Linked DNA regions of Lonchura striata. The protein of the gene in region 1 interacts with the protein of each later gene in a pairwise test. Links are inferred from orthologs where the notes say so. Each region holds a gene or a part of one and is shown in the gene's direction. Other genes may lie near its edges. The genes, in order: ARL6IP1, SUCLA2, SHMT2 and ACSF2.

The links.
Region 2: the proteins of ARL6IP1 (region 1) and SUCLA2 interact in binary tests that used the Homo sapiens proteins (3 or more experiments, as listed by UniProt). The two-hybrid records come from large-scale screens. The link is inferred for Lonchura striata from reciprocal best matches to the Homo sapiens genes ARL6IP1 and SUCLA2.
Region 3: the proteins of ARL6IP1 (region 1) and SHMT2 interact in binary tests that used the Homo sapiens proteins (3 or more experiments, as listed by UniProt). The two-hybrid records come from large-scale screens. The link is inferred for Lonchura striata from reciprocal best matches to the Homo sapiens genes ARL6IP1 and SHMT2.
Region 4: the proteins of ARL6IP1 (region 1) and ACSF2 interact in binary tests that used the Homo sapiens proteins (3 or more experiments, as listed by UniProt). The two-hybrid records come from large-scale screens. The link is inferred for Lonchura striata from reciprocal best matches to the Homo sapiens genes ARL6IP1 and ACSF2.

What each region holds. Positions count from the first base shown.
Region 1 is NC_134618.1:9,832,061-9,839,617, reverse strand, and holds the start of ARL6IP1 (ADP-ribosylation factor-like protein 6-interacting protein 1), read left to right. Parts: upstream 1-4,528; 5' UTR 4,529-4,588; coding exon 4,589-4,624; intron 4,625-6,135; coding exon 6,136-6,269; intron 6,270-7,557. UniProt on the Homo sapiens protein: Positively regulates SLC1A1/EAAC1-mediated glutamate transport by increasing its affinity for glutamate in a PKC activity-dependent manner.
Region 2 is NC_134604.1:61,888,267-61,895,799, reverse strand, and holds the start of SUCLA2 (succinate--CoA ligase [ADP-forming] subunit beta, mitochondrial), read left to right. Parts: upstream 1-4,531; 5' UTR 4,532-4,581; coding exon 4,582-4,668; intron 4,669-5,964; coding exon 5,965-6,148; intron 6,149-7,533. UniProt on the Homo sapiens protein: ATP-specific succinyl-CoA synthetase functions in the citric acid cycle (TCA), coupling the hydrolysis of succinyl-CoA to the synthesis of ATP and thus represents the only step of substrate-level phosphorylation in the TCA.
Region 3 is NC_134629.1:5,868,580-5,876,236, forward strand, and holds the start of SHMT2 (serine hydroxymethyltransferase, mitochondrial), read left to right. Parts: upstream 1-4,630; 5' UTR 4,631-4,701; coding exon 4,702-4,725; intron 4,726-6,514; coding exon 6,515-6,712; intron 6,713-6,811; coding exon 6,812-6,891; intron 6,892-7,571; coding exon 7,572-7,657. Other genes in the region: NXPH4 (neurexophilin-4), read left to right, coding at 1,075-1,899. UniProt on the Homo sapiens protein: Catalyzes the cleavage of serine to glycine accompanied with the production of 5,10-methylenetetrahydrofolate, an essential intermediate for purine biosynthesis.
Region 4 is NC_134621.1:5,722,502-5,730,240, forward strand, and holds the start of ACSF2 (medium-chain acyl-CoA ligase ACSF2, mitochondrial), read left to right. Parts: upstream 1-4,714; 5' UTR 4,715-4,730; coding exon 4,731-4,819; intron 4,820-7,739. Other genes in the region: LRRC59 (leucine-rich repeat-containing protein 59), read right to left, coding at 377-436, 782-886. UniProt on the Homo sapiens protein: Acyl-CoA synthases catalyze the initial reaction in fatty acid metabolism, by forming a thioester with CoA. Has some preference toward medium-chain substrates. Plays a role in adipocyte differentiation.

The sequences.
Region 1 (7,557 bases):
TCCGCAGTAGGTCCTAGAATTCGCTTTCTCCTCTGTTGCCAACTTTTTGTGGACATGCACTTTGAAGTGTAACAGTTTTCAACAGTCATATGGCCTTCCTTGCACTCTGATTGCCTGATTACCTCTAGGGAAGTCACAGGCTTTGCATCTAGCAGTAGCCGTGCAAACGCATTCCACTGCCACTGCTCCCTGACCCTCTGCCACCAACGCCCAGGAGAAGCTGTTGGAATGCTGCAGTGAAGAACAGTCATATGCAGAACAGGACACTTGGCACTGTTGGTCCTTTTCATTTTTCTCCAGTTAAAAATAACCTTATGAACAATCTGTTGGAGAAGTGTAGTGACAGGAGTGTGTTGTACCTGCTGTTTTGTTTCTTGGAAGCTGGGGGGAAGGGAGGGGTAACGCACTCACCTGTGGCTCATGTATTATACCTCTGCCATCCAGAAATGGAACACTTGTGTGGAGATGGGTTCTTACTGCGTAATTTAATAAAGTTCTAAAAAATAAAAAAGAATGTGTTTTTAATTTCCTTCAATGCAACACTGTGTGGTTGTGAAAATTACAGGGAAGAATTAAGTGCCCAATACAAACAAATACAAACCAAACCCCAAATTAGAGCAGGATTCTCCAGAGACTTAAATTTGCATAACTAATGCAAAGGAGACAGCTCAGATGTGCAGGAGTTAGACTGTCACTGTCGACTTGTGAGGTGACACATTTTTCTTGGGAAATGTTGACAGTATGGGAGGTTGGTACAGTCTTGATGAAACCTAAAATTCAGGTTCTGCTCACACATCCTGCATAGTAAATAAGACTGCATTAGTTACATTCTCTTAAAAGATGCTTCTGACAAAGACATAAGGGTGCTTACTTTATTTTCAGTAGAACTGGTGTTTATTTTCTCTGCAGTGAGGCACACATAGAATAATGCAAGTCTAGAATCACCTCTCTAAATAAATACAAACCAGCTTAAGCTATAGAAGTCAAACAGTTCAACTGAGGGCAATTTTTTGCCTGCTGCTTAGCTGCAGTAAATGTTAACCAAGGGACCATGCTATAAAGTGATTTCTCAAAGCCAAATTCTACATATGTTCAGCAGTTTTGTTACCCCCTCACAAATCTATAGGCTCGTGGTTGAGATGTCCTTTGAAAATGAGTTGGTCCTTTGCCTCTCTTCCTTCTCCCCTTTTGGAAAGCCAGGATGTGAGCATGGCTCTGCCAAATCGGTTTTTGGGATGTGTTAAACTGAAGTCATTAGTGGTGCCCTAGATTATTTTGGTAGGATAATGGCACAGTCAAATGGGAAATGCAGATCTATACAGCTAACAGAAAATAGTTTTGTACTTTGTAGAGACTTCATGGTCTGGTTTTGCTTTGCAACAATTGGTTTTGCCCTCAAGGATTATCTTATTTAAATAGAATAATGTTTTGTCTAATTTTTCAAATGTCTGTAAAAGACTCTGTTTTTCTAAGTGCTGTAGTCCTTAAGGTTAATTTACTTCAATTATTCATCAATGTGTTCTGTGCCTGGTACATTAGCCATTCTGTTTTAATGTACTCAAGTACTTCAAAGGTTTCTTTGCTTTTTTTCCTTTTTTTTTTTTTTTTTCTTGCAGGCTTTGCCTAAAATTAGCAGACTGTTAATGTTTTAGCTAAAGAATTTCACAGAAACTACAGATATTAGCTACAAACTACTGCTGTGTACGTAAATGCATAGCTAATTAGAGCAATTCTGCCATTCATCAGGCTAATTTTTTATTAATAACAAAATAAACATATATTAGGTATGCTGAAAGGGTGGAGGCTTGACATGTAAACTTTCGTGCCTGTTCTAAGTGCACAGAGCAATTGCACTGCCCCTTTTAAAGGTGCTTTGAAGCCATCTTGGGGATTTAATTTTCTGTGCATCTGCTAAGAGAGAATCTTGGTGCAGGAAGGATTGATTCCATTTTAGCATGGTCTGTGCCGTGTATTGGGGCAAGCAAAAGAGTTTGGTTTAGCTCAGGTAAGGTGCAGGAGGGACTGAGCTACTGCTGATCCTCTGCCTCCTGCACCATGGCTGAGATTTTAACAATGAATTTTCCGTGAATACACCATGGCTGAGATTTTAACAATGGAATATGTGAGTACCTGCACATGTAGCACACATTTTTAATCTGACGTGGTGCCTCACTTGGCCTGGCTGCTCAGTGAGGGAGGGGTGGGCAGGTGGCAGGGCCTGCCCTGTGCTGTGTTCTGCAGTGCAGTGGCCCCTCTGAGGTTTGGAGCAACACGTAATAGGAGGGAAAAACACCTCCATTGGCCCTCTGGGATGGAGAAAAGCTGCAAGGGCACCTGGCTAGGGAGTTGGCGTTGAAAAAACTGGCTGGAGATGATGGCCATGCCTGCTTGTTCCATTGGTAAGTGCTTGGGTTTTTTGGTGAGAATCACATAAATGGATGAATCCAGGAGCTGGCTGATGGTATCTCATAGCCAGAGCAGTGTTGCTGCAGGGCACTGCAAATATCTGTAGAAACTGTACTGCATTATAGAATCACACAATGGTGAGGGGTTGGAATGGGCCTTAAACACCGTCCAGTCCCAACACCCCTGCCATGGGCAGGGACATCTCCCAGCATTGAATCTCCCCAGGCAAACCTGTTCTCACCACCCCTAGTAAAGAATTTCCTCCTTATATCTAACCCAAATTTTTCCTCTTTCAGTTTGTACCCTTTACTCCTTGTCCTGTCACTACAGCTCCTGAGGTTGAATCCCTGTCCTTGTAGACCCCTTTCAGACGCTGGAAGGCTGCTGTGAGGTCATGCCTCTGTATGGCTCCATACTCTTTTAAAAGACTAACAAAATTATCACTGGCATCATCACTTCCTTATGAAATCACTTTTTGTGTGAGCTTTGCTGTGCTAAAATTACAGATTTTAAGAGTGAAATCCACCATTTATAAGTGTAAAATGTTACACAAAAGTACTCTTAGCTTTTAGCAGCATGTACATGAATTTTAGTTATTCAGAATGACATCTGTTCTTTACATATGTTCTAGGGTGAGTGAGAAGCACCCTGTGGAAGACCAAACCATCCAGGATAGACATATGTTTGCTTTTACATTGTCCTTAGTTCTTCTTTTTGTCTCTATCAAGCTGGTGCCAGAGAAGTTTTGGTGCCCGAGATGTTTTGTTTGCTCTCATTACAGCCTCGTGTGGCATCCTGGGCACGGTGATTACGCTCATTAACCCACGTGCCTGAAGCATTTAGAAAGCTGAGTCAGAAACAATATTTATATCCCAGTGCCTTTATCTTGTATTTATTCCCATGCTGCCACAAGTTCTGAAGGAAATGAAACACCTTGCTGGGCTTTGATGTTACCAATAGAACTGGTCCAGAGCTGAGCACTGCTGAGGCCACAGCTCGGGTGGTGTGTCCAGTTCAGAATGGACACTGAGGGGCTGGAGCGAGCTCCGAGCAGGGCTGGAGCTGGGGCAGGGGCTGGAGAGAATTCAGAGCAGGGTATGGAGCTGGGGCAGGGCTGGAGAGGATTCAGAGCAGGGTATGGAGCTTGGGGCAGGGCTGGAGAGGATTCAGAGCAGGGTATGGAGCTTGGGGCAGGGCTGGAGAGGATTCAGAGCAGGGCAGGAGCTGGAGCAGGGCTGGAGAGGATTCAGAGCAGGGTATGGAGCTGGGGCAGGGCTGGAGAGGATTCAGAGCAGGGTATGGAGCTGGGGCAGGGCTGGAGAGGATTCAGAGCAGGGCAGGAGCTGGGGCAGGGCTGGAGAGGATTCAGAGCAGGGTATGGAGCTGGAACAGGGCTGGAGAGGATTCAGAGCAGGGTATGGAGCTGGGGCAGGGCTGGAGAGGATTCAGAGCAGGGCAGGAGCTGGGGCAGGGCTGGAGAGGATTCAGAGCAGGGTATGGAGCTGGGGCAGGGCTGGAGAGGATTCAGAGCAGGGTATGGAGCTGGGGCAGGGCTGGAGAGGATTCAGAGCAGGGTATGGAGCTGGGGCAGTGCTGGAGCAGGGCAGGGCTGGAGCACGGCTGAGGAGCCGCAGCTGAGGGAGCCGGGCGTGTTCATTCGGGACACGGGGGTGACCTCAGAGCTGCTCAAAGCGGGCTGGAGCCGGCTGGGCGTCGGGCTCTGCTCCCAGGAAAAGAGGGACAGGACAAGGGGACAGAGCCTTAAGCTGAGCCTAGGGAGGTTTAGTTCGGACATTAAGAATTTCTTCAGAGAGTGATATTACAACGGGCGGCACAAGGAGGTGGCAGAGTCACAATCCCTGGAGGTGTTTTAGGGCAAGATGTGATGTGTGTCGCTCAGCACTCGGCGGTGCTCGGTCGCAGGCTGGACTCGGCTGTTTTCCAGCCCAGCTCCGCCGCCCCCTCTCCCCGGCCCGCCGCCCCTCCCGGCGCCGCCTCAGCCGCACTGCGGCGCGCCAGCGGGCCGCGCGCACGCCCCGCGCCCTTCGAATCCCGGCAGCCAACCGGCGGCCGGCGGGGCGCCGCGGCTGACCAATCACGGCGCTCAGGCGGCCCGCGGAGGCTATAAAAGGCGGCGGCGCGGTGAGGGAGGGCGTGGCCGGCGGTGCGGGAGCGGCGCAAGATGGCGGAGGGGGACAACAACAGCGCCTACCAGCTGGTGAGGGCGGGCGGGGCCGCTCGAGCCTGCGGGGGGCGGCGGCGGCGCCAGGCTGCTCCGCTCCGCTTTGTCCTGCCCTGTCCTGCCCTGTCCTGCCCTGTCCTGCCCGCAGCGGTGCCTGGCGGGGCCGCTCGGCCCCGCGCTCGTGACGCGGTTCGGCGCTGCCGGTTCGGTGTGGGGCGGGCGCGGCTGCGGCTGCTGCAGGCCCGAGCCCCAGCGGCGCTTGGCTGATCTTACGGGATCCGCGGCGGCTACCCCGACCCTGTCTGTCTGTCTGTCTGTGTCAGTCTGAGGGTCCGCGTGTGTCTGTGTGTGTGCAGCTTTCCGCTGCGGGACCGAGCGCCGCAGCGATACCGGAGAGCGGCAGGCGTTGGGTGATTCAGCTTAACTAAACGTGCTGAGATATGCTTGAATAGTTAAATAAACACAAGGCTATATATAGATATATGTATAGTTACGCCTCAGTTGGCAAGCGGCTGCCGTGGGCAATAGGAAAGTCGCTGTAAAAGCCTGCCGAGCGTTCGAGCGCTGCGTGCTGCACACCCAGCCGGGCGCCGGGAACAGCTCCAGGAGCTCGGCGCTTGCAGGGAGGCTCCAGAGTTTGTAGAAAGTCCACGAGCTGTGTTGTGCTTGTTATTCTGGTGGCGTCGGAGTTCTTATTGGAATTAAGTGTAGTATGCCGCTGAGTAAAACCTGTTCTGTTACCTCTGCACGGCAGACGTGCATGTCTTCATGACTTTCCTCCTCTTACTGCTCGGGCAGCAGTCGGTTCTGTCCGCGGTTTGCCTGAGTTTTGTAATCTCCGAGATGCCATCTCCCACCGAGGGGAGACTGTTAAGCTCTTTTAAGTGTGGAACACCTCAGGTGAACTTCTTAACAAGCTGATGGCAGCACAAGTGGAGCCTCCTTGCAGGAGAGGTGTAGGGAGGAATGTAGGAATCATATGGGAAATGGAGTCTAAAGGCTGTTTAGGGCAGCTTGTGGGAAAACTTGCTGTCCAAATGTGGTCAGTTTGATAACTTTACTGTGGGTTCTGAGTCTTTATCCATCTTCCTCATAATAAACTGGCATTGGACAGCAGCTAGAACAATTTAATGTGCTAGTGTTGTCTTGGAAAATACATTTAGTTTTAAACAGTTCTCATATTACAGTTTTCCGGTCATGGGTACTGAAAACTTAAAAATCTTTAAAACCTGACTTTCTACTAATCTGGGGGGATGGGATGTGCTGGATGGGATATGCTAAATGGGAGATTAGGGGAAAACACCTTGGCAAAATCTGGGACGAGGCCTGTACATGCTGCTAGGATCTTGACTGCTTAAAGGCATCACTGCTACAATGTCATAACTTAGTACAAAACTCACAATATAATTACTTATTTAATTACTCAGAAAGATTTGTGGCTGGAATCTTTAATTATTACACTGGGGTTTTTTTAAATCTACTTCAGTGTGGTAATTAATTTGATACACTCTGGTTAGTTAAAGGGGTTTTCTTCTCTTTTTGCGTAGGCTTCTGAAACTGCAAGCTTGGAAGAGCACTTGCAAGGATGGGGAGAAGTGATTTTACTGACCGATAAAGTTCTTCGCTGGGAGCGAGCCTGGTTTCCTCTGGCACTGATGAGTGTTGTTTCCTTTTCCTTCCTGTAAGTACCTCCTGGAGGGAGCCTGCAACATCATTGCATCTTCATGGCTACTACCAAACCTATTAAGAAAATTAGTTGGACACCTGGAGAAGTCTTAATAGAAAGGCTTTTACTCTAGGTTCTTTTTCTTAAAATGTGTGAACTATGTTGGAAATTACAAACAGAAGTTATGAAAGCAGGAAGTAACATGATTCACATCCTGCTCAGAATAGTTTCTGCAAAAGCTGTTTGCCAGCAGTAGTTGCTAGGGTTTGTACTGTGCTCAGCTGAATTTTCTTCAGTGGTGCGTTCATGTTCTGCCCTCGTTCTTTGTACCCTGCTTCTTTGTCAGATCTCACAATCTGCTTTGGCTTCCCCCCGACACCACCAGCAGTATCCTTATAGAAAGCTTGTTTCAATAGGGCAAAATAGCCTTTTCTGCCTCTTTGCTGTGGGTTTAGGATAGGTTCTGTTATTTTTGCACACCTAGAGTTTTCTAATATTCTGTCATGTCTTTTGAGAAAGGGCAAAAGGGAAGGCTACAGTAATTTCCAGTCTGCAGGGTGGAAGGATGTTGCCTGTCTGATTGGAGGTGCTGGAGGCACTTGGATGTGCCCTTACGTAACATGGGAGTAAAGATGACCTGACTGCCTTGCACAGACAGCTATTTGTGCCAGCTCTGCAGTTTGCCAGTTGTAACTGTTCCTGCAATGAGGAGAGAAATTACAAAAATAAATGTTGAACCAGGTGAGGCAGGGATAATTGTTCTTTTGGCTAATATGCTTTTAGGGGAGATGAGGAAGGTGGAAATCAAATGGAAACTGAAAAGTAACTTTTAAAAGAAGCCATTGTGTGAAGTTGAGGATATTCTGTTATAAATTCTGTGATTACAGAAGGGAAGATCTTGTGCTGAGTAATACTTTGTGGAAATGCAGAACTGCTTCAGGTTCTGAACTCAACAAAATGACCTTGAGCAGCCAGCACAGTAGCACTCTACAGATATACAGAACAGCCCCACCATGGCCTGGGCTATTTCTTTGCTTTTACTGTTTCAGTTTTCAGGAAGTTCTGTGAAGTACAGTTGAATAGCACAGGGCCCAGCTGGGTGTTATCAGGAGATCAGCTGGTTCTTATCCAGTTGCCCTTCTGCTCTGTTTGACTGATGGCAGACTGAATATGGAAAATGCAGCACTGCTTTAAGGGGAGATTGATGGCCTCTTGTCCAGAACAGGTTTGGCTGGCTCTCTCAGGAGAGACAGAGCAAATAACAGCCTCTAGTGGGTCTGAGTTATGTGACTTAAGCAACAAA
Region 2 (7,533 bases), on another chromosome or scaffold:
AGGTTAGAAGAGCATAGTGTACAACAGCTTATTGAAAAGCAGCTACACAAGCAGAAAACATCCATCTTTCATACACATGAAAGATTCCCTGGCTCTGGAATTTTCTATAAATTTGCATTTTCTTAGCAGAAGTATGAATTGGAAGATGGAATATTTAAATGTTCAATATTAAAATATTTAAATATTTTACATTGCAAAGCTGGCATTCAGAAGCTGGGTGGAATGCGACAGCAGTGCATGACACCAAAGCCCTGCTAGCCACCTGGCTGAAACTTGAACTTGAGAGATTTTTCTTCTCTTGCTTTCAAGCTTCTGGTTGTTATCGTGAAACCTGATACTGAAAATGTAACATTGTTAACTGTTTCCTCACTTTTATTTCAGCAGAATTATTTCTATGACACCGCATGTTTCTATTAAATGGCTGTCTTTTACCACAAATCATTGCTTGCTCTAATATTATGGCTTCATAAGCATTATTAGTGGAAATTAGGCAAAGTGTGATACATAGTTTTTATGTTGAAATGTAAATAACCTCTGATCATATTTACATGTGGTGAGAATAGTGTGCAAGAGCAATAGGACAAATTAGAGCTGTACTACAGGTGTTCTGACTTCATTGCTTGTTAATTATTTATTTGCTGTGTACAGACAGGACTGGGTCATTGGAATGAGAAAAGGTGCTGAAACAATTCTGTTTTATTTGTAGCTTTGTCATTAACACTTTAAGTAACCTTGGGCAACCCTTAGGCGGGTGAAGGTGGATTGTGCTTCAGCTTTGATTAAACTTCTGTGTGTACTCAATCCCAGGGGACTCTGAATAAGAAGAGTATAAAAATGTCTATTCCTTATCCATCTAGGATAGTACCTGGAGGTCCAGAATGGATGTCTGGAATACAGTAGGCAAGAAATCATGACAGGGTTTTTGACTACTATTCTACAGCCATCTGTGGCTTGGTGACTTCTCAAGGCAGAGGTGGCTTCTGTATATTTACTAACCTTGTTCTTGTTTCTCTTTCTTAACCTACCAAGACTCCTCTTGTGCCCATGTAAATTTTCATCATTTGCAGCATCTGTGGCAAGGTGCTCCACAACTTAGCTATGTGACAGATCATTTTCTGCAAACCAAATCCTTTTGCTTTCATTGAACCTTTCACCTACCAGCCTTCACTGGCTGGGAAGAGATGGTATAATAGTGATGAATGTTCATACTGTATTCTGTAAAAAATTCCATCTATGTAGGCCTGAGAGTGCACACAGCAAATGCCTCTTTGCTGGGACATATGGTAGAATCCTTGCAGGAAATACACCGGAGCACCTTCAGCGAAGGACCCTGGAAGGACTTTTCTGTATGGCTGGGAGAAGAGATGGAATAACCTGTTAATATTGCAAATGGGTGCAGTGAATAGTTTCATGTTGTTAGCTATGCCTGAGGGTCCCCTTAGCAACCTGCAGTTTGTCCAGAGAGTACCATGATGGTACTCCTGCAGAGAGAATTCACCATGTATAAGATGTGCAATGTAAGGCAGTGTAGACACCACTGAAGGATTATTGTCACTCTGCTTTAAAGTCAGTTTTTTTGCTCTGACCATGGCTGATTCATCAGCTAAACCTGTTTACTCATCTACCATACTAGGTGGGCTCTTCCTTCCTGTCTTCCTTCCTTTCTTCAACTAAAAGAGCTCTGGAAAGCTCAGGGTGTTTTTCTCCGCAGGTACTGGGGTGCTTTTTAAGCTGCTGATAAATTTTGTCTTGGAAATTTCCTACCCTCTGGACTCACGGCCTTGGCAGGGGCTTTCACTTTCTAACTCTGATGTTCTTGGCAAGACCCTCTATCCTGATGTTTTTCAACTATAAAGTATCAACCAGCGGAGCTTACAAGGTCTGGGAAATAAATCAGATTGTATCATTGTCACTGTGTGGACGTGGTAAATTTATAATAAAGCAAATTCATGTCTATTCATAATGCCTGAGCCTTCCTGGATGCTATATTTGGTCTCAAACAGGATGCTTTATTTGTCCTGCTTGTCCGTTAAAAGTTCTTGGCTCCTTCTATCTCATTTGTAATGTACCTTTCCCCTGTTTCTTTATAGTTTTAAATACAGCTTTTCAGAGAGGGCCTTGATCCTGTGTTAAAAATCTTACTCTGACTTTAGCAAGAAATCTCATAATTTTAAACTTTGAATACGATTGAATCTATTTCTGGAGATTTAGCAAAACCTCTGGATATCTGCTGGAATTCCTTGTGTAGTTTCTTCAATTGTAGGTCAGATATTGAATGAGGCTGAGCCTATACAAACCTGAGTTTATATTGGACTTACTAGGAATTTGACTGGTTGTAGCCAAGAGTGTTATCTTTTCTTGTATGTCTAACAATATAAAGAAGAGGTGAATGTGTCATTTCCAAGAACTATTGTTTTTAAGATTTTGAGTTGGGCTTACAACCATCTTGTGCTGACAGTCAGAGCCTGGTGGTGGCACTGGTGATCAGACAAAAATCCAGGCATGTTTACAGTCCACCCCAGCTGGATGAGTTTTCACAGCCAAGAGGAAATCAGACAATATAAAACATTCAGATAATTAAAGTTCTCCATACAGCTGTGTACGAGACTCTAGATAGCAGCAGCAGCTGCCTCAGTCTTTCTAGAAGTCCTTCAGTATTGTCAGCCATGTGACATTTCTTCTTTTGAAATGATGGTAAAAAAACCATCTTCATTTTGAAACTGGAAGGATAAGTCACACCTAGTGAGAAGAAGATACAGTAGTAGTTGTAATCTGAATGTTTTACAGTCATTTGCTAAGGCAAGAATTTATTAAAAGCCCAGGGACAGTTGTCAAATTTCCTTCCAGTAGCTCGCAACTGAGTCAGGATATAAGTCTGGTTTCCTGACCTGCAGCCAGTGCTTATGTCTGAACAGTAGCTTTGGGCTTTTAAGGTTAAAGTTTTGCCAAGATCCATTACATCCTCTTGTAAACATTGTTGCAAATCCTTTCCAGGGCGGAGGTGATTTTGGGGAGTCTCCTGGAGGTAGGAGATTTGTTTGTATGTGGAAATGGCATCCATGTACCGTCCTGTGCAGTACAGAACTGCAGCAGGTCCTGTGACTAGTGAAGAGACACTGTGTGTACAGAAGGCAGAAAGAGCAGAGTTCAAGTGCTTTTTCTTCCCTTCCCCTTGGCTGGAAGAAATATTTTATCAGCTGTGGTGGGAAATCTTGGATGGTCTATCAAAATTTTGCAGCTGCTTACAGGTTCAGTGTAGATAGAGAAGTTAACATACTTCTCTATCTTGTGTGTCTGCACACAGAGGTGCAGAGCTAAGTAGTCTGCAGAGCTCACTGCAGTGCTAACAGGTGACAATAACACCAGGTCAGTGGAGGACCAGGAGCAAAATAACCAAACCAAAATGACTCCATCTTTTGCAATACTCGCCCAAGGAGAAGTTACAATAATGCATTTTCAGTTTCATAACAAAAAGAAGCAACTCATCATTTACTGGATAATTCAAATTACAAAACTCAGGAAGTATCACAGCTCTGACATGGCTTTCTTTCACATCAGATCTTGCTTTGATGTTCATAATGTATGGAAATAACTGCATTTTTCCTTATTATTGGTAGAGGACATTCTTGTTCCAATTTCCCAGGCCAATGCTAATTTCCTAATTTCCATTTTGTTTTAAAGGAAAAAGCTTTGCCTCCTGGTGAATCACAATGTCTGGTCACGAGTTTCTGCAGGGACATCTGCTCCCTGCTTCATTTCCTTAGTGACCTGAGTCAAGGCCACCAAAGTAAAAGTACAGACACTGAATTGCAGAGGGGGAGGCGCAGCGTGGAGCAGTGTGATGCAGAAATGGAGGTGGTGGCATGGGGAAGGGGCTGCAAAATATCTAGAAATACTAGTCCTCAGTTCAGTCATAGAACCACTGAATGGTTTGAGTTGGAAAGGACCTTAAAGGTTATCTAACTCCAACCCATCTGCCATGGGCAGGGACACCTTCCACTAGACCAGGTTGCTCAAAGCCCCATCCAGCCTGGCCTGGAACGCTTTCAGGGATGGGGCATGCACACCTCTGAAAATCCTGTTCCACTGCCTCCCACCCCCACAACAGAGAATTTTTTCCTTACTAATCTAATCTAAACCTGCCCTCTTTCATTTTAAAACCATTGTATCTTGTCTTAAGCAAGAACGGTTGTGTTTACGTTGCTGCATGGAAACACGCTGAAATACGAAACCAAAAAAGTAATCCTCAGGACTGGAAGTCCTTCCATTGGGAAGCTGAACCGGGAAGGAGTGTGGGCGTGTCCTAAGGGAGCCGTGCCTCTTCCCTCACATTTAACACAGGTGGTGCCAACCGAGACCGACGTGGTCGGAAGGTTGTGGGTGCATTACAACCCACTTAGGATCCTTGCGAAGCAAACCTGACCTTTATTAAAAGCAAAAGGTTGGAGGGAAGGCGAGGCCGAGCAGCGCCCTCAGCGTCACTGCGGGGCGGGGCCGCGCGCGGCGCTTCCTGGCCCCGCCCCGGCCCGCGAGCGGCGCGTGCGCGCTGCCGGGGGCACCCGAGGGCGAAGGGGCTCGGCCATGGCGGCCTCCATGATCTGCAGCCGGGTGGCGGCCGGGCTGAGGGGCAGCGGCCTCCGCGCCTCGCTGGGCTCCGCCGCGGGGAAGGTAGCGCCCGCTCGGGAGCGGGGGTGGGATGGGCCGGGGCTGAAGCGGGGCCGGGCCGGCTGGGATGGCGGTCGAGGTCGCTCCCTGCAGAGCGGCGGCGAGAGCAGCGTCCGTGTGGGCGCACTCGCGTCCTGCCCTGCCCTGCCCTGCCCCGCGGATGGCAGCCCGGTGCTCACCTTTGGTGCGCGGCCCCGCAGCCGCTGTTCTTGCTTCTGGCATGTCTTCCTTGTGTGGCTCCTTTTCCCTTACTTTTCAGCGCCCCCGTCCCCTATCTTGCTTGGAAATGCCCGTGTTTCCATCTCCGCCGTCACCTTGCTCCTAGGAGGGGTCGGGCTGTGCCAGTTAAACTCTTCTTGCAGCTCGCACCTCGCCAGCCTCTGCTCTTGGTTCCTGGGGATGCCATTCGGGGGTGCGGGCTTGTTTTTGACTGCAGCACCTCTGGGAAGCGGTGACACGAAGGAGTTCGGGAGGCTGCGGTGTGTGACACGGTGTGTGACGCTCGCTGCCACTTTCTCCTGCCACGTACTGGGGAAGGTCTCTGTGAGTGCCCCTCTCGAGTTACACGCAGCCTCCCCAGCGCCTCTCCCTTGGGGTCGTGCCAAGGAGAGGACGTCCTGCTTGGAGGAGGAATCCTTTGGAGGCTACATAGGCCCTGTCGATTCGCTAGCTTGGAATGCTGTAGTAAAGCTCATGTGTCGTCTGCTTGTTTCCTTTATTTGAAGTGAAATGAAGCCTTAAAAATCTATCTGATTAGAAACTTCCAAACTTCCTCATTCAGGCTGATTTTCACAGTGCTTATGCCAGTGATACGTACTAAAAAAATAAAAATAAAAGCAAAAGTTTGTTTTGTATGTAAGTTTTGTTTGTAATCTTTTTACCTTGAGTCTTTTGGTGATCATCCATGTTCATGGATTAGCTGAATTCAGTAGGTTTCTTGCTTTGTGTATAAAATTAAGGTCTTATTTGCATATGGTGAAATACAAAATTGCAGCAAACAGTTTTTTGCATTTGTTGTTGATTTTTATTTTACAGTCCTTGTCAACTTGTCAGTGCTAGTAGTTTCACCAGCTCTTTCCCCTGCCCAATAAAACCTCACAAAATCAAATACCAGACATGATATGAATGCCTAGTATGGAAGGGTAGGATTAAATGTTCAGGTGTTTGCACTGGAACACTAAAGTGTACTTGTTTAATATGTAGACTGGTTTTTTTAGCCTAAACAAAGAGGTTGGTCCTTCACAACAGTCACATTTTTCTTTTTGTTTTCTTTTTTTTCTTTTTATTCTTTTTCTTCAGGTGCTTGCTGGAAGTTCAGGAATACTCAACAGTCATGGGTTTCAAGTGCAACAACAGCAACAGAGGAGGCTATCACTCCATGAATACCTGAGCATGGGACTGTTGAAGGAGGCTGGCATTTCTGTTCCACATGGAGTGGTTGCCAATACTCCAGATGAAGCTTACAAAATAGCGAAAGAAATAGGTATAATATTAAAGAGAACATATACTAATAGGATTGGTACAAGGTGTACCTACTTTTTCTGTCTTTCTTGGTAAGATGTTGCTTGGAGTTCTTTATATACCTTTAAGAGATCCTTCCTTGTGAAGCAACCTTCTTGCTAAGAAGGAATAGGTCAGGTATAAATTCTATTAGCTTAGACTAATATAACTAGTTAAACTTCTTTGAGATGAGTAATAGACTCTACTTTGCAAATCCTGGATTTCTTTCTACTTTCAGCAAGGTTAGAGGAAGTCTTGTGTGAAGAGTTTCAGTGGTGGTGACAAGATCTCATACTTGTCCTCAAGCTACATACTTCTCTTTAAGCTACCAGAGAAGAGTAAAATCCTATTCCTTTGTGAGTGTGCTTTTCTGTCAGAATGCAACTACTTCATACAGGAGAGGAGGATTTTGATGGCTTGTAGTCGTATGCTAAATTCCTGGCTTGTTGATGAAAAAGTATCCCATCTCATTTGCCAGGTGCTTAAATACTTAATTTAGAATTAAGCTTTAATTTTGGACTTGTTTTTGCCTATTAATTTGCCGTGTTATTTACGATCTGTCCTAGCAAAATGTTGTTCAATTTGGATTTCATATGGAAGTCAACTTCTATTGTGTCAGGCATTAGAAGGTGGGGATTTTTTGGTTGGTTGATTGGTTTATTTGGGGAGGGTTTGTTAGTTTTAAGGCTGGGATTTTTTTTTTTCCCCTCTCTGGAAAAACATATGTCACAAAGTTTTAGTGAAGGACATAGGTTGACATATTCCTTTCTCCTACGCAAATGCTCAAATCTCTATTCACCTCCAAAGGGATACATTCATAGTTATTCTTGAGGTTATAGGTTTTCTTGGATTCATTTCAGTTTCATATGGAGATTTAGTGTGAGAAATGAGACCTGAAAGAAATGATAATTTTTCTTCTAGAGCCAGTTATGTTGCTTTGTAATGTAGAAAAGAATTGAAAAGCTGTTTTTCCTTTAGGCATGATGTCCTAGAAATTCAGGTATTGTCAGATACCTTCTTTATCTTGTTTCCCTTAGAGAGTAAGTGATACAAAATTAGAATACTTTCATTAATATGAAAGGAAGTTGCTAAAATGCTTCTGAGAATGGTTTAAACTTCAGAACCTTACCTTCGGTTAAGGGTGAGTTTATAGTGTGATCAAAACTTTCCAAGGTATACCCCTTTTCTCTAATGTCTGCGCAGGTATTGCTGGAGGGAAATGAGAGAACCTTTGTCTGTGGCTCTTTAATCAATAGCCCAGGAACTCGTCAGTCAGGGTTCCTTTGTTTTGTTTTTGCTCAGAGAGGGCTCCTCCAGCAGTGTGTGTATGTCTGGCTCCTGGTTTATAGCTCTGTGTCATCCCTGTGA
Region 3 (7,657 bases), on another chromosome or scaffold:
CTGCCATTCCCCATGGGGATCATTCCCAAGCAGGAACCGCCACCGAGCCGTTCTGTAGGGTGAGTGATGCCAGGATGAGCCCCCGGCAATGACAGGAGCCATTCCCTGGGCCTGCCCCCCACGCTCCCCCCCGGCCCCTCCAGCTGCTGCCTCTGCTCGCCACCCCCTCCCCACTCCCCCTCTCCGTTCCTGCCGGGATCCAGGTCATGCAGAGCAGAAACTGCCCGAGCAGCCAAGCACCTGCCAGCTCAGGGCGACAGTGATTGACGAGGCCGGGGCTGCCCGAGCAGCATCCCCCGTGCCAGAGCAGCTGGCAGGGCGGGAGGGCACAGCGGGCACCCCGGGAGCAGGAGGATGAGCGATGGGGGCACTGAGGGGCAGGTGGGCAGGGGGATGAGGGACAGGGGGACACGTCAGAGGTGAGGTCCCAGGCTAGGGCCGGCATCTGGCTCGGCTCGCTGGTGTCCATCGCAGCAGATGAGTGCGGAGCCTTGGGAAGGGGCTGGTGTGGTGCCAGCCCAGCTGGTGCAGGCAGGAGGGTGAGGAGGGAGGAGTAGGTAGGAGGATGAGGAGGGAGCAGGCAGAGGGATGAGGAGGGTGCACGCGAGAGGATGAGGAGGGTGAAGGTAAAAGAATGAGCAGGATGCACGCAGGAGGATGAGGAGAGAGCAGGAAGTGGGATGAAGAGGGTGCACACAGGAGGATGAGGAGGGTGAAGGCAAAGGGATGAGCAGGGCGCATGCGGGAGGATGAGGAAGGAGGAGTAGGTAGGAGGGTGAGGAGGGAGCAGGCTGAGGGATGAGGAGGGAGGAGACAGAGGGATGAGGAGGGTGCACACAGGAGGATGAGAAGGGTGCACACAGGAGGATGAGGAGGGAGCAGGCAGAGGGATGAGGAGGGTGCACACAGGAGGATGAGGAGGGTGCATGCAGAGGGATGAGGAGGGTGCATACAGGAGGATGAGGAGGGTGCACACAGGAGGATGAGGAGGGAGCAGGCAGAGGGATGAGGAGGGTGCACACAGGAGGATGAGGAGGGTGCACACAGGAGGATGAGGAGGGTGCATGCAGAGGGATGAGGAAGGGCACAGGCACAGCTCCCGCCCTCTCTGCCCTCTCTCCCCAGACGGTGTGTGCTGGCGGTCACATCGCCAAAACCTTGGGGTACCTGGAGATGGGCACCTCGGGCCTCCTCAAGGATGTCCCCTACGGCACCCTGAAACCCCCAGCCCTCGACCCCGGGCGCCTGATTCCGGCAGAGCCCGCCCGGGGCGCGGGGGCACCGGCGGGCACCGGCCGGAGCCCCTGGGACTGGCAGAAGAACCAGACGGCCGGGGAGCTGCTGAGCCCCCGCGCCCACCGCAAGCCCACCCTCAAATCGAGCCGCACCAAGAAGATTTTCGGCTGGGGCGACTTCTACTTCAACATCAAGACGCTCAAATTCAGCCTCCTGGTGACGGGGAAAATCGTCGACCACATCAACGGCACCTTCAGCGTCTACTTCCGACACAACTCCTCCAGCCTGGGCAACGTCTCCGTCAGCATCGTGCCACCCTCCAAGGCGGTGGGTTTCGAGGTGCTGGTGCCAGGCCCCCCACCCTTGCTGCAACCACCGCCCCCTCCCCAGCAGAGCACCCTGCCCGAGGGGCGCCCGGCCAAGGCGCTCAATTGCCACGTGGAGTACGAGAAGACGAACCGGGCGCGGAAGAACAAACCGTGCCTCTACGACCCGTCCAAGGTGTGCTTCACCGAGCACACGCAGAGCCACGCCGCCTGGCTCTGCGCCAAGCCCTTCAAGGTCATCTGCATCTTCATCTCCTTCCTCAGCATCGACTACAAGCTGGTGCAGAAGGTCTGTCCCGACTACAACTTCCAGCACGACAACCCCTACTTCGGCTGACGGCACCGGGGGACGCGGGGGTTTCGGCGTCACTCGGGACCCCCCGTCACCCCCACGCCAGCCCCGTCTTCATGGCTCTGGGCTGGGCTGTGGGACAGCCGGTGCTGGGGGTCCCGGACCCCACCCAATGCCGTCCCATGGTGGGATTCGGTTGGTTCTGGGAGTTGCAGGTTCCCCCCTAAAATGACGTCCCATGCCTGCGGCATTCCTGAGCCGCAGTGGGGTACAGCCAGTTCTGGGGGTCCCGGGCACCCACTGAGACCCCATCACTGAGTACCCCACACTGGGGTACAGCCAGTTCTGGGGGTCCCGGGCACCCACTGAGACCCCATCACTGAGTACCCCACACTGGGGTACAGCCAGTTCTGGGGGTCCCGGGCACCCACTGAGACCCCATCACTGAGTACCCTGTACTGGGGGTCCCGGGCACCCACGGAGACCCCATCACTGAGTACCCTGTACTGGGGGTCCCAACCACCCACGGAGACCCCATCACTGAGTACCCCGTACTGGGGGTCCCGGGCACCCACTGAGACCCCATCACTGAGTACCCTGTACTGGGGGTCCCAACCACCCACGGAGACCCCATCACTGAGTACCCTGTACTGGGGTACAGCCAGTTCTGGGGGTCCCGGGCACCCACGGAGACCCCATCACTGAGTACCCCGTACTGGGGGTCCCGGGCACCCACTGAGACCCCATCACTGAGTACTCCAACTGGGGTACAGCCAGTTCTGGGGGTCCCAGTTCCACCCCCAGTGACATCCCATCACTCCATCCCTGGGGTGGAGCCGGTGCTGGGGGTCCTGGACCCCTACACAGAGATCCATCCCCGGGGTACACCTGATCCTGGGGGTCCCCTCCTCATTTTGAGACTCATAATTGGGGTACCCTGTTCTTGGGGGTCCCCTCCCCCCCCCGAGACCCCATCACTGCAGCCCCCATTCTGGGGTACACCTGTTTCGGGGGGTCCCAGCCCCCTCCCCCACTGACACCCCCTCACTGCAGCGCTGCCTGTGTTGGGAATCCGGGACCCCCACCCATGGAGACCCCCCCCACCCACTGAAACTCCATCCTCCCCCACCCATTGGGTGTAACTGGTGCTGGGGTCCCGACCCCCCACCCGGAGACCCCCCCCACCCCCTGACACCCACCCACCCTCCGAGACCCCCCCCCACCCCGAGACCCCCCAACCCCCGAGACCTCCCCACCCCCTGAGACCCCTCCACCCCTGAGACCCCCGCCGGGCACACGTGTGTGTGCGTGTGACACACCTGTACCATGTGTGTGTGTGACACACCTGTACCCTGTGACACACCTGTACCACGCGTGTGTATGTGCGTGTGATACACCTGTACCACACATATGTGCGTGACACACCTGTGCCATGCGTGTGTGCATGTGACACACCTGTACCACACATATGTGCGTGACACACCTGTACCACACGTATGTACGTGTGACACACCTGTACCACACGTGTGCAAGGCCCCACCCGGTATCCCGGAGCCCCCCCCCACCCATGGGTGGCTCTGGTGCCGCCTCCGGGCCCCGCTGCCCCCTGGACCCCCCCACCCATGGGGACCCTCCCCCCACGCCGCGAAAAAGCGCCAGGCGGGGGGGGGGGGGGGGGGGGGTCGGGATGCGATTTTTGGGGGGGGGTTTCAGGGGCGGCCCCCTCCTCTCGGGGAACGGCTTCTGCATCTTTTATTTCTTTAATTTTTTTTTTTTGTAAAGAAAATGAAAACGGAAAAAAAGCGGAAAATAAAGAAAAGCCGGGAAAACCAAAGGATCGCGGTGGTGGGGGGAGGGCGAGGGGGCGGGACCCCCGGAATGAGGGTCGGGGGGTGCAGGAGGGACCCCGCAATGAGGGTCGGGGGGTGCAGGAGGAGGGACCCCGCAATGAGGGTCGGGGGTGCAGGAGGGACCCCGCAATGAGGGTCGGGGGGTGCAGGAGGAGGGACCCCGGTTTTGGGGTGAGCAGGGATGGGGAGGCTGGGAGAAGGTGTGGGGGGAGGGAGGGGGGACCTCGGGATGGGGTGAGGGGGGTGCAGAGATGGGGGGACCCCAAAATTAGGGATGGGGGAGGTGTAAGGATCGGGGACCCCAAAATTAGGGATGGGGGGTGCAGGGATGAGGGATCAAAATTAGAGATGGGAGGTGCAAGGACGGGGGACCCTAAAAATAGAGGGGGGGCTGCAGGGATAGGGGACCAAAATTAGGGATGGGAGGGGGTGCAAGGATCGGCGACCCCAAAATTAGGGATGAGGGGTGCAGGGATGGGGGATCAAAATTAGGGATGGGAGGTGCAAGGACGGGGGACCCCAAAATTAGGGATAGGGGGGTACAAGAACGAGGGACCCCAAAAATAGGGGGGGGGGGCGTGCAGGGATAGGGGACCAAATTTAGAGATGGGAGGAGCAAGGACAGGGGACCCAAAAATTAGGGATAAGGGGGTGCAAGGACGGAGGTCCCCAAAATTAGGGATGGGGGAGATGCAAGGATCGGGGACCCCGAAATTAGGGATGGGGGGTGCAGGGATGGGGGACCCTAAAATCAGGGAAGGGGGGTGCAAGGACCGGGGATCCCAACATTAGGAAAGGGGAGGGGGTGCAGGGTCCGGGCTGCCCCGGTTCGGGGGGGAGGCGCCGGGGCTCCCGTTTCCCGTCGGCCCCGCGGCTCCGGTGGCTCCGCCCTCCCGGCAGCGCGCGCGTGGGGGCGGGGCCAGCGGAGGCCGGGACCGGGACCGGGACCGGGGCCGGGAGCGGGACCCGGCGGGACCCACGTGCAGCGCGGACCGGGATGTGGCCGCTCCGCCTGGGCAGGGTGAGCCTCGGGGCTGGGAGCGGGGCCCGCTTCTCACCGGGGTGGGGGTCCCGGGTTCCCGGTAAGGATTCCCGGTAAAGATCCCCGGTAAGGATCCCCGGTAAGGATCCCCGGTTCCCGCATCCCCCGGTGAGCGCTGGGTTCTGCTAGCCCCGGTGTCTCCCGGTGCCCGGGGGGACAGCCCCGGTCCGCGGCGTGGGGACACCCGCTGCGGTTCCCGGTGTGCGGGAAGTCCCGGTGCCCGGAGGGAGGGTCCCGGTGCCCGGACGGGGTCCCGGTGCCCGGGGGATTTGGGTGCTCGCAGGGGTCCCGGTGCCCTCAGTGAGCTGCAGCCCCGGTGGTCCAGGGCTCCCGCTCCCCGGCGGGGGGGTCCCGGTGCCCGGTGCCGCGGGGGGGGGTCCCGGTGCCCCCGGTGCCCCCCTGTGTACCCCTTCCCCACCCTCCATCGCCCCCGGGGGTCTCAATCCCATCCCGCTCCTCCTCCTCGCCCCCGGCTGGACACCGGGACCCCCACCCTGGTGTTGCGTGTCGCCCCCCCAAGCCCGGCCCGGTTCCGCCCCGCCACCCCCGCGGACTTTGTGTCCGTCCCAAAGTCCCCGGGGCCGGGACAGCCCCGGCACCGGCCTTGGCCCGTGTCCGGTGCCCGCTGCCCCGCGGGTGATGCAATGGGGCGGCCGCGGTTACATCACCCGGCACCGGGCACCGGGGGCGCCCCACGGGTGTCCCCCCACAGCCGCCGTGTACAACGAGGGGGGGTCCCGTGGGTGGGGGTCCCGTGGGTGAGAGGCCCGCTGTGCACCTCGGCTTGGGGGGCACCCCCGCAGGGTTTTGGGGGTCCCTGTGTGCTTCGTGAGGACTTTTAAGGGGGTCTTCATGTACCTTTTGGGGTCCCCATGGGGTCCTTGGGGTCCCCATGCACCCCTTGGGGTCCCCATGTGCCCCTAGGGGTCCTTGGGGTCCCCATGGGATCCTTGGGGTCCCCATGTACCTCGTGGGGGCCTTGGGAGGATCCCCATGTGGCTTTTGGGGTCTCTATGTACTTTGGGGGGACCACGGAGGAGTCTCCATGTGTCCCGTGGAGACGGGGTCCCCATGTGCCCCGTGAGGTCCTTGGGGTCCCCATGGGATCCTTGGGGTCCCCATGGGGTCCCTATGCACCCAATGGGATCCTTGGGGTCCCCATGCACCCCATGGGATCCTTGGGGTCTCCATGAAATCCTTGGGGTCCCCATGCACCCCATGGGATCCTTGAGATCCCCTTGGGGTCCCCATGCACCCCATGGGATCCTTGGGGTCCCCATGTACCCCTTGGGGTCCCCATGCACCCCATGGTCCTTGGGGTCCCCATGTGCCGCTAGGGGTTCTTGGGGTCCCCATGGGGTCCTTGGGGTCCCTGTGTGCCCCTAGGGGTCCTTGGGGTCCCCATGGGGTCCTTGGGATCCTTGGGGTCCCCATGCACCCCACGGGATCCTTGGGGTCCCCATGTGCCCCATGAGGTCCTTGGGGTCCCCATGGGATCCTTGGGGTCCCCATGGGGTCCTTGGGGTCCCCATGTGCCCCATGGGATCCTTGGGGTCCCTATGTGCACCTTGGTGTCCCCATGCACTCCTTGGGGTCCCTATGTGCCCCTTGAGGTCCCCATGCACCCCTTGGGGTCCCCATGCTCCCACCTTGCAGGGTGACACCGGTGGCTGGAGGCAGACCTGGGGGTGTTGTGCCTGCCACTGTCACCTGTAGGTGCTGGGACGGGCTCCAGGGGTCACGGCTCGTCCCTCCCCTCTCTGTGCAGACCCTGCAGCGATGGGGGGCCCGGGTGGGCACGGGCAGCCGGCGGGCACAGCACGGCCCCGCCGCCGCCGCCGCCACCGGGCACGTCCCCGGCTGGACGGGGCAGGAGAGCCTGGCCGAGAGCGACCCCGAAATCTGGAGCCTGGTGCAGAAGGAGAAGGATCGGCAGTGCCGGGGGCTGGAGCTCATCGCCTCTGAGGTGGGGGGGCTTGGGCAGGGCTGGGGTTTGGGGCTGGGGGACCCCCAGTTTAGGGGGTTTGGCTGCTCCGATTCTCATCCACTTTTCCCCCCACCCCAGAATTTCTGCAGCCGGGCGGCGCTGGAGGCGCTGGGCTCCTGCCTCAACAACAAATACTCGGAGGGGTATCCTGGGAAGAGGTAAAGTGGGGAGGGGGCTGGGGGGCACCGGGGGGCACCGGGGTTCAGCTGCAGGAGACATCCAGGGAGCCCCAGGGCAGGGCTGGGGGCTCCCCAGTGCTGATGCTGACCCAGAACAGAGATCTAAACAGAGCTAAAGAATAAATTAGGGATTTATTAGGAGGCTTCAGTGGATCCACCCTGAGCAGCACAAAGAGGCCAGTCAGGGCTACAGCCCAGGTGAGCCCAAAATAGTCACAAGATGAACCCAAAATGCACCCAAAATGGTCACAAAAATGGATGCCTTGTCACGAGGTCTGTCGCTTTTATAAGTTTTGCTCCATGTGCATATTGGGGTTAATTGTCCAATTGTAGCTTTAGCTTACCCAGTCCCATCCTTCTTGTTTTTCTCTGTTCAGTTCACTTCTGTTTCTGCTCTTGGGCCTGAAATTTGGATCCTTTGTCCTTGTTCCCCAGCTAGAGAAGGAATTGTTTTGTCTGCCTACTCTGTGAACAGAGCTCACCATCCCCTCACATGAACCCAAAAAACCCCCAAAATCTGAGGTGTCATAATCTCAGCATCTGAAACACAGAAAACCCAAAACCCCGCAGCATCACTGGGGGCTGCCTGATGCGCCACACCCCCGTGGGGTCGGGCTGGCGGCGGGGGGACCCCCCTGGTGACCCCGTGCTGTCCCCAGGTACTACGGGGGGGCCGAGGTGGTGGACGAGCTCGAGCTGCTGTGCCAGCGGCGGGCGCTGGAGGCCTTCGACCTGGACCCGGCGC
Region 4 (7,739 bases), on another chromosome or scaffold:
GATTACTCTCCTCCTTTGCCTTGGAAGATGGAGGTGAGACACAGTAGGACAGATAGACAGACTGAGAAGGTTATGGATGACAATATGACAGGAACAAACCCAAGTCTCCACTGCGGATGAAAGTCCTCTCTATTAACCTGGGGATGCTCTGGAAGGAGTGTACTGCAATCTTCACACAGTTCAACCCTGTACTCTCTCCTGCCTCAGCCAAATCACTGCCAGCACTGACCCGTCACTGACAACGAGTCATTCAGCCACCCCAGGGCAGTGAAAATGCCAGTTCCACGGTGCCTGGTGAGCCTCTCCTGAAGCACCAGCTATCTTTCCAAATATTTCCCAGCAGACACATCCCCACGGAGGCTCTCTAGCACCTTACCGGCAAGGAAATGAGGTTGTTACAGGACAAATCCAAGATAGTAGCTTTCGGAAGAGCGGCCTGAAAGACAAATAAAGCACTGAATGAACATGGAGGTTCACCCGACCCCCTCTGACACCTGTTCTGCTTCGGCCTCTGCGGTTTCTCCCGCGTCAGTCTGTCCATCCCCCGCGGCTGCTCCGAGGCCACGTCATCTCCGGATCCATCTCTGTATCCAAAAAGGTTCTTATCCCGGGACAGCAGTGACTAGCGGCTGTCGGGCCCGCGGGACAGAACCTCGCTGCTTTCAATACCTGCAGGCCAGCTCACAAGCCCCCAGCACATCCAGCTCCCCTACGCTGCTCCTTCCCGGGGACCGGCAGGCGGTCCCCAGCCCCGCCGGGGGGGGTACGGCCGGAGACTCACCAGCTCCCGCACCGGCACCTCGTTCAGGTCGCAGAGGCTCAGGTCCAGCTCGTTCCCATCCAGCTTATCCTTCAGGCTGATCCCCTTCCCGCTGCCCCGCGACATGGCTCCGTCGGCGGCTGCCCGCGGGGGATGCGGCTCGGTTGGGTTCGGAGCGGCTCGGCACGGCTCGGCACGGCACAGCCCAGCCCGGCGTGGCACGGCCCGGCCCCGCCACCCACTTCCGCGGCCACGTCTGCACGGGCCCCGCCAGCCGCCCCGAGCGCGCCCGCTGCCGGCCCGGAGCGGGGCCGCACCGGCGCCGCAGGACACCGAGTTACCCTAAGAAAGAACGTTACCTGATGCTCGATCTCTTTCAAACCTAAGCAAAAAGAAAGGAGATTTAATCCCCGAAGCAGACAACCGCTAATAAGCTCTGAGCGCTTAGAAAGACGAATTACTTGTTGGTAGAATTGTCTTGTTAGGGTTTAATGTTGATGCGATGATCTCAGATGTAATGGGATGTTAACAAAGCTTGGGAAGAAGGATGTACTACTGATAGTGGGTACAAGGAATGCAGGATTTATGGGCTACAAGAACATTAGGCAGAATTTCCAAGATAAGGAAGAAACTAATAAAGCTGGCTCAGCAATTGGGTTGAATCAGCTCCAAGCAGGTAAAAGGTAGTTCTGTCAGGAGTAGATTATGACCACCTATTCATGGACACAGACCCAAGAAACCCACCAACCCAAAAGAAGAGAGACAAGACTGTGGACTAATTAGTATGGGAAGTGAAAAAAATCATTAGGCATTGGAAGATAGAATACTAATTGATATGAGAACCAGATAACTCGTAGCCAATGAACATTAATGCCTTTTGTTTGCTAAAATATATAAACAGTCAAAAGTTTTGACAGTTGTCATGCTGGCTTTGTGGATTTGCCATCCAGTGCAGAACTGTAAATAAATCAAATACTACAACTCTGGGTTTGGGTTGGCCTCCTGTACACTGGGTGGGAGAGCCTATTTTGGGACACACTGGCACAGCTCAGGGCATCCTTGCAACTGTCCCACCAGCCCTGGAACCCTGGCCAGGTTGGCAGGAGTTTAGATCTGGGCTACATGAAACAGCCCTGCAGAAGGCAGGAGAACTCCCAGCCAAGACCCATGAGCAGGGGCGGTTTTGCATCCAGTCACATCACCTGACACACAGAGAACCAACTGGTTTATGGCCGATAATCCCAACAGAAACCCAAGGATGTATACCTTGTTTTGCAATACCTGATATAGCTGCTTATATCTGTCCACACTCTCCATAATCCAGGGGCTGAACTCCCTCTCAGTTTGGCTGTTACATTACCCCACAATGTCTGTTCACAGGAGGGACACTTAATGGATATTCCTGCTTTGCTCCCAAGGCTCCAGTCCCACAGGAGCAGGGCACTCTGTGGAGAAAGTCAGTGAAAGAGAAAGGAGCCTGGGGCAGAGCCAAATTAGTGTTACCTGGTACTGGGATTACAGCATGAATTTCCTGACTTCTGTGCTATATGTGATGTTTGGGACATTGCAAAGATGTTTTCACTATTGCAGCCCATCTACTCTGTGGATGCATTAGTTTGTTTGTAAGCTGCCAGTGAATTTCTTCCAACACCCAGAAACCAATTTATTTGCTCAGTACTGAGGTAACTGAGGCCACAGGATTCTCTGAACAAAGGCATGCCAAAGTAGCACACAAGGATTTGCCTCGTAGAAACTACAATAAAGTTTGCCTGAGTTTAAGGTGTCTCCTGTCCAGGAGATTATGGAAGATTTTCAGAGCATGTTATTGTTCTTCCAAATGTGAGCAGAAATCACAGAGCCCTCATCTGAGAGGAGTGAGGTCTACTTATCCAAGAAGCTCCCTCCATACATCAGATTTCACAACAACGTTTGTTGTTGGAGGGAAGAGCCAGAGAAGACCTGCTCCAGGGAATGGTGGGGAAACCAGATCTCCAAGGCAGCAGCTGATTACTGATCCACTCCTTACCCTGAGCCAGAGAGGGATTCATGTGATGTGCAGTGCTGTTCCCCTCCATGGAACAGCACCAAAGACAGTCCTGCTCTGGAGAACAAAACCCAGAGGGGCTCTGAGGGGGCCTGAGCAAGACCCTCTGCATATCTGGGAAATACAGAGACTAAAATCTGTGTTTGAAAAATCCAAGAGCCATTGGCAAAACCAAACAAGGGTGTAATGGGTTACAAAACCTACCTACTTGTTTGTGATTAACAGATTTGAAAATCTTGATTAGAAATGAATGCTACCTTATGCAATGGTGTATGAAATGTTACTGCTTCAGGGGTCCTTTGATTTGATCTCTAGCCAAAATCACTACCATCTCAAACAAACATACTCAAATGTCAGGGTGACATTTCTGCATAATTCATGGTTTAATTCTTTCTTTAACTGGGACTCACCATCTAGGCTAAAAACCATAATGTGGGAAGATCAAGCCAAAAGTCATCTTTATTTTTATTTATTACACGTTTGCACTGATTTTTTTTTTTTTCTCTGTGGTTATACAATACTGAGAGCTCTGATGCTCCTTCAGCACAAAGACAGTTGCTCTGCTCTGGCCAAACAGTGGAAGGACAACTTCTGGCCACAGATGTCACACAGCTTTACATCCCCTGTGGGAATCCAGAAACTCACCTGGCTGCTGGGTCCAGTGGGGCTGACTGGAGGAGGTATCCGTGCACGCAGGCTAGAAAGACTTTGAAGCTCCACAAGACAAAGACAAAGCATAGCACAAGGTGCATCTGTGCACTCTGCTAGGGGCTGCAAGAACATTAGCAAGGAGAATGGAGCAGGAAATGCTGAGGGAAGAGGGATGAACACAGTCGATCTAATTGTGATCTAATGCTCCTTACTGGGGCTGAGCTGACCATGCCAGCCTGGGGTTGGAGACCATTCCCAGACGCTCAGAAGATCTCTGGCTGCCCTCTGCAGCCAAGGCAAGTTTTTCACATTTCAAGGGAAAAAAATTCTCCCTTTCCCTAACAAAGAAGACATTGTCACTGCTGCCACCAAACAAATTCCTTGTGAACTAGATGCACATTGGGGAAAATCCTTAATTTCTAAAAGCAAGTGTCAGACACTAGAGATCTGGTGGCAGTTGGTATTTCACTCTGTCGCAAGCACAGTTTTGGCTTTGATGTCTGAGATTCACCATTCTGAGGTTGATATTTACGCTCTTTGTCAGCGCCATTGTGCATGATGTGATACACATACACTGTGTCACCTCTTGAGCATCAGTGCTGATGCAGAGCTCAGCAGCCCCACACCTCTGTGCTTAGGTGAGGGGGGTCTCAGCCTGCCCAGCCCTGGAGCAGCTCTGCCGTTCCTAGCTGCTCTCTTCTCCTCCACAGGGAGTGCATACAGGTGTTAGTGAGGTGCTAGCTGATAACTCATTGATGGCATAGGGCTGGAGGGCAGTTGGTGACTCACAGGGCTCAGGCACCAAGTGATACAAGTGGAGACAGGTAGAGGCAAATAATGGTGTTTGTCTTGCACCAAAGTCAGTCTCTACTCATTTGAGTGGAGAGGCTTATTCGGGTGTAACAGTGGTTGGGTCAGGCTGATGGAGCAGGCCTGCCCATTATCTCAAGAAGAGATAGCGGACCAGAAATGTGCAGGGAAGAAATTGTGGTGGGCAGCTTGGGCTGGGGACCGGCAGAGGATGGATGGGGAGATGCCCGGCGGGACTCTGGGGGCTCCGTCTGAGCCCGCAGTCCCTCTCGCGGACCGGGCAGGGCTGGCTCTTTCTGTGCTTCCCTTCCCCCGGTGCCTCCCCCCGGCCGGCGGAGGGTCCCGGGAGCGGCGGGCGGGGCGGGGCCGGGGCGGGGCGCGGCGCCCGGGGCACCGAGCGGCGGCGCGGGCCGGGCCGGGTCCGCGGGGTGCTGCGGGGTGCTGCGGGGTGCTGCCGCTGCAGGAATGGCCGTGGCCCGTCTGGCAGCGCTGGCCCGGCACGGGCTGCAGCTCCTGCGCCGGGCGGGCGGGCAGCGCGGAGCCCCGCCGGGCAGGTAGGGACGGGCTGGGGAGCGGGAGGTGCGGGATGTAGGGGTAGAGGGCTGTGGGGCTGTAGGGGACTGGGGCTGTAAGGGAATTAAAGGGTGCAGGGGGCTGTGGGTGAGAAGGAATAGGGGCTATAGGGGGCAGAGGGCTCTGGGGTCGGGGAGCTGTAGGGCACAGAGGCTGCAGAGGATGGAGACCATGTGTGATGGGGGACAGGGACTATCAGTGCTGTGAATATCCAGCTAGGCCAGTGGCTGCATGCAGGGAGGGCATATTCACCCTTGTCATCCCCAGACCCTTCCAAAGTGGCAGAAGGCAGGCTGTATCCCCTGGATCTGCTTCACCCCACCTGGGAGTGGGCCGGGGCAGGGATGAGCCCTGAACAGCAGGAGAAGGGAAGTGAAGGCATGGCAAGGGCTGAACTTTGTGCAGCGGCTCCATCTAGATTGCAGCAATGTGAAGTTTATCAAATGGCTTCCCCATCTTCCTCCAGAGCTCTGACTTGCTGTCAGTGTCCCTGTCCCCCTGTGGTCCTGCAGCCCCCAGGTAGCTGGGTGGCCAAGCAGTGTGGGACACCAAGAAGCTCTGGGGCTTGGGAAGTCAGGCCAGTTCTTTGCCTTGCTTTTCTTCAGTGGTGCCTCTTTGAGCAAGTTCATGTGAAAAACCAGCAATGGGGAGTATCTGGCTTTGGGAAAGGCTCTGATTGATTCGCTGGTATTCAGAGTAATAATCACTGGGATGACTTCCAGTAAGCAATTCCAAGAATCAGGCGGGGCATTCCTTGTTTTTCACAGACAGGGTTTAGGTGGGTTTTTTCAGCTGGTTTGACATTAGGAGTGAGGTGTTGAAGCCACTTCATCATAGTTGTGTGAAGATTGCCTTCTCAGAATCAGTTCTTAGGAAGTAGGATCACAAGAGAAGCATGACAACATTCACTGCAGCTCACTTCAGCCCAGAATTGAAACTGAGGGACAAGAACACAAAGCCCTTGGGGAGAGAGAGCATGTATTTAGAGAGTAAACTCTTTCTAGTAATGTTATAAAAAAAGTTTATTAAGTTCTACTCCTCAGTTTGTTTATCCCTTTGGCAGGGAGAGTGCAGAGGGCAGAGAGATACAGTGGAAAACAAAACCAGAAAGTTGCTGCAGAAGGAGTCTGAAAACCCAGGGAACTTTAAATAATAATTTAAAAAGTAGTATCTGATTAACTCTTTAGTCAACAGATTAAAGCAGAATGAAGACAGAGCAGAGTTAATTTTTACCACCCTTTAATTGCAGTCGTGTTACAGAAAAGACCCAAAAACTCTTGTTTTGGGGAGAGGCTCTGGTAGATGTCCATGAGCAAAGGAGCTGGCAGAATCTGTGAACCTCTCCAAGTATGAACTCTGTATTTGGGACAGTTCCCAAGCTCTGGGAAGGCAGGGCCTTTCCCACAGGTGCTGACGTGATGGCACCACAGGGCAGGTCAGTGTCCTTCACACTACAAAGGGGACAGCAGGTTAACTCCCTTGTTTACTCGCTCATCCCTTTTGATAATTTCTATAGAGACTGGTAAAGAGTTAAAGGTGAAAACAGAATTGGTTATCTTATGTCAACAACTCCAGACTTTGATTGGAGCTGTTCAGGGAAAAATACAAACAGCTCCTAGGATTAACTCAGAGTGCTTGCTTCAGTCTTATCATTTCTGCTTCCTGCCACCAGGCAGAAGAGCTCTGGGATTGCTGGGGTTTGGCTGCTCTCCCGCTTTTTGCAGGGAAGAGGAGGAGGATGCATTTCCCCCAGATCTCTGATGTCTTTCTGTTGTGCTGTGTTGCTGAACTTGAGGGTTCTGGAGTTTTGTGGGAACAGCCCATAGAAGGGCTGGCTCATTTGCAGGCTGGCTTGCTGCAGAAATGTGCTGCTAACAAAAGGCATGTGCCCTCCAAAAGGTGTGGTTTACAGTGCTGACACCCAAGAGCAAGCAGAGTTTTATCTGCTCTCTTTTGGCTGAGCCAGGGAAATGAGAGCCGGTGTAATATCAGACCGTGGGTCTCATTTTATCTCCAGCAGCACCAGATGCTTTGTAGGAAGAGGTGAAGGGTGAATTACTCGTTTTGTGTAACAAAGATGAACACAGAGATTATTTCCAAATCCTTTGGATCCTTTCTTTCGAGAGGTCTCTTGATAGATTCTCTCAGATCAGATACAAACTCTTGCTGCTGGCTGTAGGCAGGAGGGAGACCAGCCCTGTGTGATTTCCAGCATGCTGCTGCTGATAATGAACATGTCTTGTGTGTGCCTCCTTTATTCCACTCCTGACCCCCAGTGCTTCCAAAAGGCTGCTGTGTTTTATCCCACACTTTTCACTTCTGACACTGTCAAAGTGACACAGAAATGCTGAAGCATGTGTCAATGTCAGACCAGAATTCGGGGAACTCAGACTTGATGGCAGCTGAGATTTTTGCTTTAATGCATTTGAAGAAATTATGTGAATTAGTGCTTTGAGAGGAGTCAATGTGTCTGGGTTATAAGCATGAGGTATCTTAGCCTTCTTAGCCTCTAATTTCAGTGTTGCTGATGCTTTCATTTGAAAATGTGAATACTTGGGACCTCTGAGAGCAAGCTGTGTTCACAGTGTGAAATACTGCAGTATTTTCTCAGTATTTTTCAGCATGTAGCTTCATAATATCTTTTACTGCTCTTTGATGCACTTTCATCCTCATGTTTGGGGGTAGGGAGGAAGACAAACCATGAAACCTGGAGCCTTGTGCCTTCTTGCCTCTAGTTTAAAAGTCTGGTTCTGAAAAAGTTAGAGAAACCTTTTGGCTCTTCAGGTCTGGAAAATATTGAGACAGGAAACCCAGAGAGCCTGATCTGTGTAATGCTTTGCCACGACATGACAGTGCAAGATACTCCCTTTTTCACTGGGAATGCAGGGCCGTGCAAGTTCC